Cricetulus griseus: one gene and its partner. The protein of the gene in region 1 interacts with the protein of each later gene in a pairwise test. Links are inferred from orthologs where the notes say so. Each region holds a gene or a part of one and is shown on either strand. Other genes may lie near its edges.

Region 1 (4,522 bases):
CACTCTCATCGTGAGCTCAGGCATTCACGTTCCACAGGAAGCTCCTGGTCCTCCACTCACACTGGGATGTTCTCTGTTCTCTGTTCTGGCTTCCCTAGGCTTCCTGTGTGCATACAGCAGATTTGGGCATTCTTGGTTCCCCAATTTCCCGAGACATTTCTCTACATTTCTATAGTCAGAGATTCCCTGCTATCCATTGGGGATATCCTAGGACTCCCCCAGGATGCCAGGATATGAGGGGTTAAATTCCTTATGTAAAAGAGTGTGACATTCGCATGTACCACATACACATTCTCCCCTATAATTATTTAGGGTTTAAGACAGTCTTACTGTATGGCCCAGGTTGGCTTCATATTCAAGATCCTCTTTTCCCTGCCTCCCGAGAGCTGGGATTACAAAACACCACACCTGGCTCTTCTTTATACTTTAAAGCTCCGCGAACTGATAATGTCTAGTGTGATAAGTATTATGTGAATTATTGTAATACTCAATTATTTAGGGTATAGTGACAGGGGGAAAAAACCTCTGTATAACAGGTGTAGTTTTATCTTGTTTTCCCACCTCTGGGACTATGAGGCTACTGATAGCTGATTATGTGCTACGGCATCTGCTTTTCTGGAGAAGCCTGAGCGATAAAACGACACTCATTGGCTACTTACAAAATTGTTGGACACCAGGCTCCTAAACTGAGCTCTGACTACATCCTGGGTGGAAAAGAGTCTCTTTTTTGTTCTCTGTGGTGTCTTCTCACAGGGCTTTGCCCTGAGCATTCCCGGAAGCATGTTCCACCTTTCTGTACCTCGTCATCTCTCATTTCTTTCTTCTCCCTTCTTCCAAGTTGTGGTACTTTTGGCTGTTTTGCTTTAAAAAAAATACAAACTTTAAAATCTTATTTTATATGTGTGAGAGTTTTGCCTGCTTATATATGTATGTGCACCACGTACATGCCTGAGGTTCAAGAGGGCGTTGGAGCTCGTGGACTGGAATCCAGAAGGGTTGTGAGGACCCAAAACCCATGTCCTCTTCAAGAGCAGCCAGCGCTTTCGACAGCTGAGCCGTTTCTCCAGCCCTTCTGTTTTGCTTTTCTTCGAGGCAGGGTTTCTTGTAAGCTCAGGCTGGCCAGCTCTCAAATGCTGATTATCACAGACTTGTTTGTGCTACCACGCCCAGCAATTAACTTCATTTTTGCACCAGGGCTTGTTTGGGTCTAACGGAAAAGGGCCTAAGAATTGAGGGCATTCACCTTTAATCGCACTCCGTGCCTCTCGGGAGTGGCTGGAACAGATTTGGATGCCAAGTCTCCAAACCAACCCAGCTGCAAATTTCCACACACCCTCACCCACCCGCCTTATCCCCGGGCCAGGCCACCCCCACCCGGGCAATGACGTCTATTTGCAGACACTGTAGCCAAAGGAAGCGTTGGCTCGACGACGATTTGCTATTGGCTGGGAGGGTGGCGCGGCAGCCAATGGCTGGCAGCGGTGTTTACAGCGCGGCTTGGGTGATGTAATGGAATCCTGGCTGGCCCGGCGGGCTCCCAGCGGACAGCGTGGTGACGTAGCGGCTTCCCCGGCCGCGCCCGGCTCGCCTGGCCTGGTGCGGACGGATGGGGGGCATGGCCTTACCCCGGCTAGGCGCTGCCACGGGGACCGCCACGTTCCTTCCGGCTCGGTGTTCCGGTAGCGGGTCCCGGGGAGGAGGGCTCGGACCAGATCCGGTCTCGGGCGAGGTGACAAATCTGGAACCTGACACCGGAGGATGACCGAGCTCCTGCTCCTCTGGTAGTGCAATTACGGACTTCTCACGTTGTCAGTTATGCAGCTCTGCAACCTTTGCTTGACGGGAGGGAGTTTGATTTTGAAACTCCTAAGGTTGCAGAGGATTCTGGTGTGTTTTTAATCAAGAGCCCTGGCTTTGATTTGTGGGAAATCTTGCGTTAACTTCCTCCATTTCCGGCCTGGTGACCTGGGCCACTTTCTCATGTTGGCCCAGATGATACTCAGTGGCAACAACAACAACAACAAAAGGACAACAAATGTGGAAACACTTGATGAAGCGCCTGAAAGGAAGATGCTCTTTGGTCCCATCCTATTCCAGTGCTACTGCTTCTTTTTTTACGGCTTTTTAAAAAAATATTTTACTTTATTTTTTGTTTTGTTTTTCGACACAGGGTTTCACTGTGTAGCCCTGGCTGTCCTGAAACTCACTCTGTAGATAAGGCTGGCCTTTTACTCACAGAGATCTGCCTGCCAGTGGTCTTCTTGAACCCAGGGATAGCCCCTGGGAAACCCTCTCTATGTGTCCCCATTTTTTTTTTTTTTTTTTTGTCCTTGAGTGTATGCTTAAACCTGGGAAGAGGTGGGGGCACCCCAGCCAAGTAGTTCTTGATCCTAAGGCTGAGGAAGGGCCCTGTAAAGGGAAATCCCCTTTCCAGTCCCTGGCGAATTCTGGGTGAGACCTAGGCAGGGGAGTCCCTTTTGGGCCCAGCAGATTAGTTAACCCCTCTACATCCTCTCCATCAGGCAGGGAGGAAGTGAGGTGCTGACTCCCCAGCTCTGGGCAGCTGAATCCAGGCCATCAGATGTGGTAGATGGCCTTGTTCCTTGTGGCTCACCATGGCTTATTGTTTTTCCACCCTTGGGACTGTCATCCTATCCCTGTCTCATACCTTGAAATTTGTGACAGCCTAACCTCCATGGGGTGGTTCTTTCTCCATTTCTATTCTGTCTTTTTCATACTGTACCCCACATTCTCTTCCTCCAGGGTGGCCCTGGGATTGAGCCCCTACTCACTCCTTAGCGCCATGTCATCTGGAGCTCCTACCTATACTGTACAGTAGAATCAGCTCTTGGTTGCAGGGCTTTGCCTTCCTGTCTTGGGAACTCTCTAGAATGTAGGTCAGTACTGGTGAAGACTGTGCTCGTCCTTACCTGCTCCAGGAGGTCAAACCTTACAAACCAGTGAGTGGTCCACCTGCTTCTTGGCTCTCCAGTCTACAGGAGCAGCTGGGAAATGGCAGAAAGGCGATGGCAAGAATGAGGGACACCACGGTGAGTAGAGAGTACTCTCTGAGAATTAGAAAACCAGGCTGTGGTGGGCTGCGTGGCCACTGACTAGCTGAGGAAGGCAGTTAAAGGAACCACAGTGGGGCTGTTTGTGGGGTATCTATTATAACAGTAAGAGGTCACATTGCCCTTTCCCTCAAATAAACATCAACTGGATTGAGTTAGGCCAGGCACTTTGCAGGAACAGCTCCAAGGCAAGAATCATAGACCTGGCTTTTCCTCAGGTCTCCCTGAATGGAAATGGTAGATTTGTCACTGCCTGCTACCTTCATGTCTGCTATCAAAGGCACTGTCTTCATGATGGTGCTATGGAGCAGGTATGTTACCATGCTTGTGTCTCCAAGGAGGAAACAGGAGCTCAGAGCAGGCTAGTCACTCCTTTGAAGTCCCACATCTGGAGAAAGCTGGAAGCTGGTGGGCCAGAGAGTCCTGCTCCTGAGGAAGAGCAAGGAGAGCTAAGTCTGAGTGCCTTTTGTGTCCAGGGGGTACCCTCCGTGTCCAGGGAGTACCCTCCGTGTCCAGGGGGTACCCCTCCATGTCCAGGGGGTACTATTTGTATCCAGAGGGTGCCCTCTTTGTCCAAGGTTCCTCCATAGCTGTTCATCTCTTAGCGACCTGTGTGTCTATCACATGCCAATTGGATCTTATCCACCTCTGCCATCTCAGCCAGTCTCTTCAAGCTGTCCAAGAGTGTTAGCATTTCACATTTTTCTATCTGCTTTATTTCATTATTATAATAGAGTAGATAATTGAGGCAGGTTGGGGTAGGAGTATTTATAGAGAGACTGCTGTGGGCTGGAAGCCTCCATGGAAAAACTGCTAACAGCATTTTTTTTTCCATTCCTGTCTGAATAAATGTATTTCTCCTACACTGGCAAATATTTTAGAATGTATTTTCAAAAAGACTTGTGGAAAAATAAAAAGAGGGAGCAGAGGATCGCCTTCTTTCCAAAGCTGCTGGAAAAGAGCTGCTAGGGCGGGGGGAAGTCAGCCTGAGGCCCCCTCATTCCTGGCCACTGTTGTGCCTTGGTTCCTTTGTCTACAAATGGATATACTGTTGAGTATGGGAAAGAACAGAACTGATTCTGGGATTTTGAGGTAAACCACAGATTCTAGGGTTGGCTAGAAGCAGGAGAAAAAGGGGCTGTGGGGTTGCCAGAGAGTAGGGCCTGTCAAGAAGGATTTCAGGCAGGGGGAGAGAAGATTGTGACTATGGGAGTGAGCTCTGGAGTTTGGGAGCCTCCTGAGGAAACCTCTGAATGCAGAAGGGATTCTTGACCACGTGGTTCCTGGTTGGCAGCTTGTAGAATGGGCACAAAGCAGGATCCTTCAGGATGGATTCTCACTCCCAAATGGGTCCCCCTAGTCACCACCCATTTAAGCAGGGACAGAGACACAAAGCCACCCCTTGGCTACCCTTGGGTTGGCCTTTTTGGCCTGAGGCTTTGCTGTTAACA
Region 2 (4,380 bases), on another chromosome or scaffold:
ACCCAGAATCTCCTGGACATGTGCTTTGAGACTGAGCTCTGCTGCATCCCTACCCCGGCACCACATTGGATTTTACAACATACACACTTAACACACCAAACTGGCTGTTCGCCCTCTAATTCCTGCTATAAGAGAAGGGACATACTGCTTTCCAGATTAGACGATTATCTCTAAGTGCTCACCAAACTGAAAAAAAGGTTAGATCTAGAGAGGGAAATCATGGAACTACATTAATAGATCACACTGCGGTGAAAAGGATATTGGACTAATAGAGTAATATAATGCATGTCAACTGTGCTTTGGGAATTTATGGTGTGAAAGGATTAATGGGTCAAATGTGTGTAGAGGAAGGGAGACCAGACACAGTAATGGTCCATAATCAAAAAATTTGTAATAAAGGGGGCTGGAGAGATGGCTCAGTAGTTAAGAATGCCAGCTGCTCTCTCAGAGGACAAGAGCCCTCATGGCAGCTCACAACTGTCTGTTCCAGGGGAATCCTTCGAAGCCATCTTCTAGACTCTATGCACTCCAGGCACACAAGCAATGCACACACACACACAGACAAAACAACCATTAAAGTAAAATAAAATGGCAGGTGGATTTCTGAGTTCGAGGCCAGCCTGGTCTGCAAAGTGAGTTCCAGGACACCCAGAACTGTTACATAGAGAAACCCTCTCTCGAAAAACCAAAATAATAACAATAATAATAATTCATAATATTTTTTAAAGATGTGAATAGAAGGAGAAGCAGGGCCTAACATTGGGTTGTGGTTAGTGCATGAAGGGCAGCAGTAGTGCCTCAGCAAGCTGACCGTGATGTCACAATTCAGTGTTTGTTAAGCTAAAGTGGAGGGACTGCTCTAGGCGCTGGGGCAGTCACTAAATGGTGGCAGGGCATGCAGCAGTGTATCATGGGTAGGAGAGGCAACAACAGCGGGAGAGGGGTAGGTGGGTAAAGGGGGAATGGTGCTTTTACACTGTGCTAGGAGGGGTTTCTTAGAACTTTTCAGGTCTTGACAGGAAAATAAGGTAATGACTACATGCCACGTTATATTCATCACACTGTACCCTAAGTGCACACAAGTATGATCTCTCAAAACCAACAATAAAATGTATGAAGGTGACTTTAATCAGAAATATAAATTGCAGCCAGGCATTGGTGGCGCACGCCTTTAATCCCAGCACTCGGGATGCAGAGGCAGGTGGATCTCTGAGTTCGAGACCAGCCTGGTCTACAGAGCGAGTTCCAGGACAGCCAGAGCTACACAGGGAAGCCCTGTCCTTCACAGGCACATAGGTTGCTGTGAACTTCTGAAGAAATGGAGTGAGGGGGTAGGGAAGCTCTGTTACAGAGATGGACATGGAAGCACATCTGCAAGAACTTGGGTCGCCAGAGCTCTGGAGACCAGTCCCCGCCTACCCTTGGAAGCTGCTTTCTACAATTTAGGAAAACACTTCAGCTTGGCCCACTCTATGACGCAGGCGCACAAGCTCATTGGGGGAGGGGCGGGGCCTGCGCCCACGTGGCGGGGGGCGGAGTGGGGCGGAGCAAGTCTCGCGAGGCCGCGCCCTGGTTCGCGTGGTCTCCAGCGCGCCGTTTTAGCCTTCTGGCGGCAGGGGACTCCGCGCTTTCGCTGAGGGACGTGTTTGCGCGCTCGCTCAGTCATGGAGGCGCGGTCCAAGCTGCTGGACGCGACGACTCAGTCCCGTCGCTGGACCCAAAAGCTGGTGCTGATCCTTCCGCCGCTGCTGCTGTTCCTGCTGCGGACCGAAGCTCTGCAGGGTTTGGAGAGTGAGGATCGGTTCCGGACCCGCGAAAACGAGTGCCACTTCTATGCTGGTGGACAAGTGTACCCGGGAGAGGTGTCCCGGCTTTCAGCCGCAGATCACTCCCTGCATCTAAGCAAAGCCAAGAGTAGGTGGTGCTCTGCGAAGGTTGGGTGGATGGGGGCAGAACTCGGGGATACTTAGACCCTTATTGTGGATGCTACGAAAGGGTGGGGCTGGAGTTGGGCCGCTCCCCCAAGGCTGAGCTCTGGGTCCACCCCGTTGCCTTTGTGGGTGTGAGGATGGAGGTGGGTTCCTGGTGTGAAGAAAGAGTTTCCTCTGGTCAGATTTCGGGAGAGGTAGCGGTTACCCCTAAAGCCGCAAATGGGGGTGTTCCTAGTCCCAGGCTTGCAGACATGAAGGATGTTGTGAAAACTAAAAGACTTCCTTAAATACCCGAAAATGCTTGCAGCAGTCCTGTCTTTTTCAGGGAAGAAAGTACACTGATAAGTTGAATAATGATTCACAGAAAGTTTGATTAAACAGAGAGGTGGTTAAACAAATATTGAGAAGGTCAAACTTTTTTTTCATACCATACAAAGATTCTTAGTGAAGTCATCTCCCCCAAATTTGTAGAGTTAGTGACTATCGAAGGTTCAAAAAAATGAAGACTTTATTAGAGTATTTTGGAGGGAAACTGGGATAGGAAGTCGAAGTAGCACAATTGGACTGATGGGTAAATCCTGTGTACTGTTTATTGGGTTTTTTCATTATTTGTCTTTCTGTCCAGTGTTTGAAGCTAGTGGACACGTCAGACTAAGTAGACAGTGAGAAAATTGCGGCCTGCTGCATATGGATATTAAGATTGCCAAATAGAAGTGACCAGGACATCCAGACAAAGCCTGTGTCTTAGTTGCTTTTCCCTAACCCACTTTTCTTAGGGATTATTTGACATTCTGTGGGTGTATGTTTGAATTTTGGTTGTTGCAGCACATTATGTTCTGGTATTCGGTGAAAAAAAATAGTCATACTTGACAATTTGAGGTCTGCTTTTTGAGCATAGGGTCTGGACAGATGTGATAGAATGGCTTCAAACACTATGGTCCTCCTACTTCAGCTTGCAGAGATCTGGGGTTACAAATGTGCCCCACCACAGTTGGCTACTTCACAGTTATGAACCTCCAGAGATAATGGGATGTCACTACCACATGCAATGAATGACAAAGGCTGTTTTGCCTCCTTAAGCATTTGTGGTTTCATAGTACCAGATAACTACTTTGGGATTGTTTTTAGAAAGCCAGTTTTGCTTTAAAACAGTAATATTTCCAAGTCCCATTGATTTCACTTGACTGAGGAAGACAGTCTGAAATGTGTTTACTCAAATATACTTCCTGCTGGAAACAAAGCCATTCCAAAGCTGTATTTGGAAGTAAAGAAAAACTAGTAGGTATAGTAGCTTTCTGTTTACCAAAAACCTTTCAATTTTTATATAATTTTTACATGTTTTTGTCATATACAGACTTACCTAGAATTAAAGGGGGTATTTTAGAGCAATTAAGTCTATATTTTCAAATCATTTTAACTACATTTTCAATGACGGAAAAGATGAGGATGCAACATGATCCAGATATGTGTTTGGAAAAAGTAGGAAAGGTCAAAATGTTAACAATAGTAAAACCAATGATAGACAGAGGGTTTAAGTTGTCTTCATTATTCTTCTCTGTGTTTACCAGAACCCTTATGCTAATGCATATTTAAGACAGTGTTGTTTGTTTTTTGAGACAAGGTTTTCTATGTAGCCCTGGCTGTCCTGGAACTCACTATGTAGACCACCAGGCTGGCTTCGAACTCACAGAGAACCACCTGCCTCTGCCTCCTGAATGCTGGGATTAAAGGTGTGTATCACTATGTTTTTTGTTTGTTTTGTTTTTAATAGATACAGAGGGTTTTTTAAGGAATTTTTTATTTAAAAATCTTAGCAAAGTAACTGCAGTTAATATCAAACCATAAATTTGCAAATATCAATTTTCAGAACAAGATTTATTTCCCTGACATGGTTTTCTGTATATGTAAAATCCTTAAGGAGTGTTGTAACAGATCATTACAATTATTATTATCTCTTTCTTATTTCAGCATTTGAAGTGATGACTATAAAATATACAGACTTTAGCACGTTTCTTATATTCTTTTCTGGCCCTCCTTAATAAGATCAGGATTGTTTATATTAGGTAGTTCTGACTCAGGGTAAGAAATCACATGTTATATATAAACTTCACAAAGAAATTCATCCTCAGTTTGTCTCTGTAGAGCAACTGTTAGTGCTGGCTTTTACACAAAAATATAAGGCTTAATTCTAGAAACTTTAGTTCAACTTGGAAGCAAGTATTTGTAATGGTTTTGAAAGTGTTATTTGAATGTGTCAACAGCATGAAGGAACATTATTATCAAAGGGTGCTAGCTAGAGTTACAGCATGCCTTTATAGGACAGCAGCACGATTGAATGTGCATCGGGTCATTTGAAACCAGTTCAAAGGGGTTGGGGAATTTCCTTTTTCAAAACCTTCTAGGAAAACTATCCCATGATCTGGGATAACTTGAAGGGGCTGTGATGAAA

What was found.
Region 2: the proteins of Nr4a1 (region 1) and Prdx4 interact in a two-hybrid assay, tested with the Homo sapiens proteins (2 studies listed by BioGRID and IntAct). The link is inferred for Cricetulus griseus from reciprocal best matches to the Homo sapiens genes NR4A1 and PRDX4.

The regions. Positions count from the first base shown.
Region 1 is NC_048595.1:397,685,001-397,689,522, forward strand, and holds the start of Nr4a1 (nuclear receptor subfamily 4 group A member 1), read left to right. Parts: upstream 1-1,669; 5' UTR 1,670-1,781; intron 1,782-1,919; exon of another isoform or gene 1,920-2,763; 5' UTR 2,764-3,050; intron 3,051-4,522. UniProt on the Homo sapiens protein: Orphan nuclear receptor. Binds the NGFI-B response element (NBRE) 5'-AAAGGTCA-3'. Binds 9-cis-retinoic acid outside of its ligand-binding (NR LBD) domain.
Region 2 is NC_048604.1:90,798,893-90,803,272, reverse strand, and holds the start of Prdx4 (peroxiredoxin-4), read left to right. Parts: upstream 1-1,572; 5' UTR 1,573-1,664; coding exon 1,665-1,914; intron 1,915-4,380. UniProt on the Homo sapiens protein: Thiol-specific peroxidase that catalyzes the reduction of hydrogen peroxide and organic hydroperoxides to water and alcohols, respectively.